Rattus norvegicus: one gene and its partner. The protein of the gene in region 1 interacts with the protein of each later gene in a pairwise test. Links are inferred from orthologs where the notes say so. Each region holds a gene or a part of one and is shown in the gene's direction. Other genes may lie near its edges.

What was found.
Region 2: the proteins of Sptbn1 (region 1) and Sh3bp5 interact in a two-hybrid assay, tested with the Homo sapiens proteins (2 studies listed by BioGRID and IntAct). The link is inferred for Rattus norvegicus from reciprocal best matches to the Homo sapiens genes SPTBN1 and SH3BP5.

What each region holds. Positions count from the first base shown.
Region 1 is NC_086032.1:108,085,202-108,088,875, reverse strand, and holds part of Sptbn1 (spectrin beta chain, non-erythrocytic 1), read left to right. Parts: intron 1-885; coding exon 886-1,044; intron 1,045-1,672; coding exon 1,673-1,975; intron 1,976-3,444; coding exon 3,445-3,598; intron 3,599-3,674. UniProt on the Homo sapiens protein: Fodrin, which seems to be involved in secretion, interacts with calmodulin in a calcium-dependent manner and is thus candidate for the calcium-dependent movement of the cytoskeleton at the membrane.
Region 2 is NC_086034.1:6,592,531-6,595,871, reverse strand, and holds part of Sh3bp5 (SH3 domain-binding protein 5), read left to right. Parts: intron 1-1,170; coding exon 1,171-1,301; intron 1,302-1,464; coding exon 1,465-1,507; intron 1,508-2,152; coding exon 2,153-2,372; intron 2,373-3,341. UniProt on the Homo sapiens protein: Functions as a guanine nucleotide exchange factor (GEF) with specificity for RAB11A and RAB25. Inhibits the auto- and transphosphorylation activity of BTK. Plays a negative regulatory role in BTK-related cytoplasmic signaling in B-cells.

The sequences.
Region 1 (3,674 bases):
AGGTCCAGCAAAGAGTTGTAATAATAGGTCAGTCCACTGGAGCTCTGCATGCAGTGTTAAGACTTCGTTAACAGCCTTGGCTCACGGTTTACCTTGTTACCCAGATACTCAGTTTTAATCCTCATCTGTGTGAAGCACTCAATTCAGATGTCTTCCTGTTGCATAGAAAGAAACTGGAAATCTGATTCCACATGCTTGGAATGTCTGCAGGTTGTGGACATAGCCGTTGTTTCTCTCCATCTGAGAAGTTGTTAGACAGGCTGTTTCCATTGTTGTGCCTCGTACGCCTGCAAGTACAGACTTGTACTGTGGCTATTATTTCCAAATACAAACTAGAAAAAAAATGTAGAACTGTTCATTTGTATCCTTTGATACATTTGCATCCTTTGAGCGTCCAGTGATTGGCATTTTTTAAAAAACATTAAGTAAGACATTTTCCGGAGATTTTGAAAGAAAAATTCAGGCATGTGAATTTTTTAAAATATGGCTCTGGGTGGAGTGAATGAGAGATTCCTAATATATTTGCCCTGAGGAAAGTCAGTTTATTTCTTTTATGTGATGAGAGCTACTTAGAAGATATTGTGTTGCCCCTTAACCAGAAAGTGTTTGTTTCCAAGTTTATAGCAGGATCTTTGAGCTTTGACAAGAGGGTGTTCCCATGAGGCTATGCTGAGGGAGAAAAAGATCTTTTTCTCAAGGGTGGAAATGGGATTTCCCTTTCAAGTCCTGTGATCCTTTGGACAAATACTAGCTGTTGCTGTAGTCAAGGACAGCTCCTTAAATGTTGCCGGAAACCATGTTTTGTTTTGTTTTGTTTTGTTTTGTTTTGTTTTGTTTTTTGTTGTTTTTGGTTTTTTTTGTTTTTGTTTTTTTTAACTTCTGCAGGCCTGGGAAAGACTGGAAAAAGCAGAACATGAGAGAGAACTGGCTCTGCGGAATGAGCTCATACGGCAGGAAAAACTGGAACAACTTGCCCGCAGATTCGATCGCAAGGCAGCTATGAGAGAGACATGGCTGAGCGAAAACCAGCGTCTTGTCTCTCAGGTTCTGTCTAAATTACTAATGCAAGGTTTTCTGAGGTAGCCAAGAAGCACTAGCCCTCCCCAAGAGGCCTTGGAGCTCAGGATAGCACTTAATATCCAGTATTGTGAAGTTGCTGACCAGCCAGTCACTTCCCTTTGCACAAAGAGGATGTTTAAAATTTCTGATAAACTTTCTTGTCTGTTTGTCTAACTTGTCATAGACTTGGAAGGAGCTCCAGCAGTTTGTTCAGAGCCTGTCACTATGAATCATTCACATTCCTGTAAGCTTTAAAAGTTCCCCTCATGCTTGTCCCTCAGCGTTTGACCAACCGTCCTCAGGGCATGACACTGGTCATGAAATACAAGAGCCAACTTACTTTCCCTTGGCTTGACAAAGTCCTACCAACTTCAGTATCTTAAGTCAGGTGGTCGGTGCTCTGTAAAGTGAGAAGCTGCTTATATACTGTTAGGAACACATCTGAACTCAACCAGAAGTTTGTAAGGTCCTAGGGCAGTGAGAAACTAGTGGCATAGGAGACTCAAGAGGCAGAGTCAGCTTACGTACTATGTTACCCACCCCAGGCCTGCCATCTCCCCACCCCACCCCCGTTTAGGTGACTTATGTTTCTTTTTGTTCTCTGTCTCTGTAGGACAACTTTGGATTTGACCTTCCTGCAGTTGAGGCCGCCACCAAAAAACATGAGGCCATCGAGACTGACATTGCGGCGTATGAAGAGCGAGTGCAGGCTGTGGTGGCTGTGGCCAGGGAGCTTGAAGCAGAGAGCTATCATGACATCAAGCGCATCACAGCGAGGAAGGACAATGTCATCCGCCTCTGGGAGTACTTGCTGGAACTGCTCAGGGCCAGGAGGCAGCGTCTTGAGATGAACCTGGGACTGCAAAAGATATTCCAGGAAATGCTTTATATTATGGACTGGATGGATGAAATGAAGGTAACGTTTGACCAAAAGAAAGCAGGGAGGCCAGAGCTGATTCTGTCACACCTTTTCTTTGTGGTGGCACTGGTCCCCTTTGTCTCCTGCATTCTTTTGCAAAGCCAGACTGAGACCACAGTGCTTTTAAGCTGCCTAGCTCATGACCTAATGAGATGAGTGGCATGGAAAAGTTGTGAAAAAGACCACTTTATATAGTCCAGATCTGTTGCCGTGATTTCGATCACTGTTAAGTGCATACCAACGTAGAGAATCATTGTGATTTTCCTTTTCATTGTTAGTATGTTTAGTGGTCTGAGTAGCGGTGATACTGTTCTAGGATCATGTATGCAGATGGGAGGGTGGTGGTAAGTGCAGGCCAGGAGCTAGGAAGCCAGAATTCAGATCTTGTTGCCGTATCACTTCCTCTTCTTCAAACCAACTTCTTCGTCTTTTTATGGAGCCAATACTAACGCTTGCCTTGTGGCTCTCGGAAGCTGGGGTTGTGCTAAGATATGTACAGGTTGCTGTGGGGCTGAATGGTAATGGCTGTGGTGCTGCTTTGTGCTTTCTCCTCTATCCCTGGCACTTCTGAGCCTAAAGTCAGCCATTGTGTCACAGCCCTGTGCCTGCTGGTTTCTTTTGTTGCAGACCATAGGGCACCATCTTTATTGAGCAGTTTCTGAGCTTGAAGGGTTTTATCCCTAAGAACAGAAGAGAATAATGTTTAGACCATCCTCTTTTCTCTCAGAACACTGTGTTTCTTATGTAAGAGAACTCTGCCCCTGGATGTCAGTCTTTACCTGTTCCTTGCCTCTTGAGCTATGGTGACAGAGAGACAAGGTCAGCTGATGATTCAGTTTCTCTCTGCTATTGCCCCACATGTACAAATGCTACTAGGTTTGATCTTTGACCTCTTAAAATAGAAGTATTCATAAAGTATATCAAAGATGTGATTTTCACTTTATGAATCATAATATGCACTATAATTCAGGGTAACATAGTTTCCTGAGAATTGTCAAGAATGAAATAGAAATTTTATCTGAGAGTGTTGTGGATTGGTAGATGGGAGAAAAATTTGCAAGTTGAATGAAGAACAAGAAAATTTCAGTAAGTTCAAAATGATGATGTTTACCTGACCATGGTCTCCTTGTTGGCATACAAGTAGATGCCAAGATAAGTAGATTTTCCTATTGATTATATAATTAGCATAAAGGCTCTAAGGGACCCTCCCCCCTTTTATTCTGTGTTTTTTTAATGTGGATTTTATTTGCTTTTGCCAAGATACGTTATCCTTAGTTCATTGTGTCTCTCCTGATCTAGGCCTCACGTTTGTTGTGTTCTGACTTACTTGGATGGTCTTGCCCAAGTTGGCTAGTGACAGATCAGAGGAAAGGTCGGCCAGGATGCTAAATCTGCTCGTCCAAAGACGCTGACACACTGGAGTCAGTTGTATTCACGGGTGTCCTTTCTGTCCCATTTGTGCACAGGTGCTATTGCTGTCTCAGGACTATGGCAAACACTTGCTCGGTGTTGAAGACTTGTTACAGAAGCATGCCCTGGTTGAAGCAGACATTGCAATCCAAGCAGAACGTGTGAGAGGTGTGAATGCCTCTGCCCAGAAGTTCGCAACAGATGGGGAAGGTAAGAATGGACTGCTCTAGGCGTTATCACCTCAACAACGGAAATATATCTTCATGAACTACAAACATGGTGTGTG
Region 2 (3,341 bases), on another chromosome or scaffold:
TTTTGCATATTCAAAGTCTCTTTAACTGCAGATCTTATAAAATAAAATAAAACCCAACCAGACAAAAACAAATTAAATATTTTCTTCAAAAAGGGGTAGAAAAACAATCAGGCCAAAGCAAAATCCAACATTGAGGAGTGTATAAACCAGACTCTGTAGCTCAGTGTGCAGCCTCTGGGACTCACTCATAATCTGGATCCAAAGGACAGTCCCCTCCGTCTCTGTCTGCTATGCACAGCTCCTGCAGGCTTGTCTCAGACTAGGTCAGAGGTCAGAGGTCAGAGGATGCCGGCGACCTGTGTGCTTCTTTACCCTCAGTTTCTAAAGTTGTCCTGTGGGTCTCTAACAGAGGGGCCAAGGACTATGGTCCACTGAGCCCCTCGTGTTCCTCCCGTTAACAGAGACTGATCTGGTGACCTTGCCTAACCTCCATGCCATTCCTCTAGTTGTGTAGAACAGTGTGGCTGTGAGTAGAAGACAGGGAAAGCAGTTGTGTGGGTTCTCTCAGATGAGGCATTAACCTGGTGCTTCATAAAGACAGGGAGAACAGCATGTCCCACACCTCTCCTTGGTGTGGGGCACTCGGGCCTCCTGCTGTTAGTTTACCAATAGGGCTAGCACCGTTTTCCCTCCAGAACTCTGCCTTTCTCTTGATGGTGAAATTTTTTCAAACCTCAAACTCTAATTTGACCGACTTTGTTTCATTTTAATTTTAACTGATTTAAGTGTAAAGTCTGACCCCTTTGCACGCTGGATTTCCTGTGCCTAGCTGATCTGAGGACTTTGGGGAAAGGCTGCCCGCTGGCTTTTCTGCGCTATGCCTGGTCTTGCTGTTCTGTTAGTTAGACAGCTCTTAGTGCTGACGGCCACTTGCCTGTCCATCAGACTGGGCCCAGGGTTCCCATAGCTTCTGCAGGCCTGAGCAGAAAAACATAGGTATTGGGTGAAGCTATTTAAAAAATTTCTCGTTTTTTATTTTTCTATTTCCTAGTCGCTGGTTTTCCAGAACAGATCAGGAAGGAAGCAGACCCTATTTTATTGAAATTTAATCTCAGTCTTCCTGTTGATTTACTCAAGGGACTTCTTGTTGTTAAATGAAGTGAGTATAGGCAGTGTAAGCCAGGAGCTGTCCTGGGCTTGACCTGCCTTGGCTCTGCTGTTGTTTGGAAGGTCATGGAGGCTGAGCAGACCAAGACACGGAGCGAGCTGGTGCACAAGGAGACAGCGGCCAGGTACAATGCCGCCATGGGCCGCATGCGGCAGCTGGAGAAGAAACTCAAGCGAGCCATCAACAAGTCCAAGTAAGTCTGTGGGGTCCCTGTCACTGAGCCTTGGGTAAGCCACTAGCTCTGCTGGAGTTTGTCACTGCCACAGCCTAAATCCTGAATGACCTGGCTAGCTGTAGTGGATGGATCTCGAATTCACGAGATCATGTTCTTACAGGATTTCTCCTGTCTTCTACAGGCCTTATTTTGAGCTAAAGGCCAAGTACTACGTGCAGCTCGAGGTATGTGGGACCTTGTATTTGTCACTAATATTTCCATCTCCACCCCTCCTCTAAAACTCAACTTTAACTCGGTAACAGGCCTTAAATGACCCGTGTGCTGTGAGGGGAGGATGGAGAAACATAAACCTAGACTTTTGTTCTCAGAGTGGTCTTGGGTGTTGTGCGCTGTCTGGAGCTATCAGCGTTCACTCTCACCCAACTGCTTGTTGTATTGTACCAACCTTTATTAGGTCTCGGTGTGAGTGCCCAAGACGAGATGCCCTAAGAGCGTTCTGGTAGAGTTCTCAGGCTCCCCACCCTGTCAGAACCTTTGGGGGTTGGGTCAGCAGTCTGCCTTGTAAATGGTCCTACAGGTAATTCAGATATGGGGCCAGGAACTTCTACTGGGGACCAAGTGAGGAGGCTGCAGCACTTCTGTCTACTGTTCCTTCCGTGAGGGCTGCACTTTATTAGCATTTAGTTCACATGGACTGGTGTCTTGAGCTGGTAGAGATTTTCTTCCCGTTGAATGGGTAGCCATGAGTGAAAGCCATTGGACCCTTTAGTCAATTGTCTTGGGTGTCTCAGGAAGTTCTTTGTGTTGTAATCACGTGCAGCCCCTCCAGGGCCACTTTGGCTTACCGCGTCCCCCATCTTCCAATTCAGCAACTGAAGAAGACAGTGGATGACCTTCAGGCCAAGCTGGCCCTGGCGAAAGGCGAGTATAAGGCAGCCCTGAAGAGCCTGGAGAGGATCTCGGATGAGATACACGAGCGGCGGCGCTCCAATGCCATGGGGCCTCGGGGCTGTGGCGTGGGGGCAGAGGGCAGCATCACCTCAGTGGAGAACCTGCCTGCAAGCAAGCCTGAGCCTGATGCCATTTCCGGTGAGTCTGACGAGCAGGAATCAGTGTGTGTGTGACGTCTGCTTTCTATGGTCCCTGTCCTTTGCCCACCACACATGAATTGGAGAGTTTTGTTCTCACGTGGGACAGTGCTCCTGAGACCGCTACTGAGTATTAGCATTCTGTGGTCCGGTAAGACTGGGAAATGTTCCCCCTCCACCCCCTCAGGCAGTCTAAGTACACATTGGAACATCCAGGGCTTTAAGACGTTGTGAGGAAAGATTTAATAGGGACTTAGGATCCAGATTTGATCCAGGTCCCATTTCACTAGTGGTATGAGACAGAGGAGCCCTGACGTGTTCGCTGCTTCAGCTGCATAATGAGGCTGGGGTCCGCTGTGTCACAAGGGTGCTGAGGAGCCACGGGGGTCTGACCACACGGTCTCCTCTGTTCAGGATCCCTGTGCAAGGATCGGCTTAGAAAACTACTGTCTCCAGCTTTTCCTTTCCCGCGCTTCTGAGGCTCCTTCGTCAGCAATTCTTTTTTTCTTTTCCTTATTACTATCATGTTTTAAATAATTTCTGGGCATGAGTGATTTTCCCACGTGTATCTATGTATACACACGACTGCCTGATGTCAGAAGGGGACACTGGATCCTCTGGAATTAGTTATTAGCTGCCACGTAAGTGCAGGAAATCAAACCTGGGTCTCTGGAAGGGCAGCAGGTGCTTAACCATTGAGCCATCCCTGGCTCCACCCCCAGCCGTGCTTAAAGGCCATCAACAGGTGCTGAGCTGCCAGGTTGAAGGGAAATGAGACTACTGTGATCAATGATTATGTATGAGTTACTGTGCCCATCACCTCACTAATCCTGTACACAGAGCTTCATGAGCTGAGTAACTCACAAGGCCACACGGTCAGCAGTGGACTTAGATATGAGTTCAGCTCTGCACCCACTTCCTGCCTCAGTGGCACAGTAACAATCCTCTCTGGTTGCTAGGCCATGTTTAA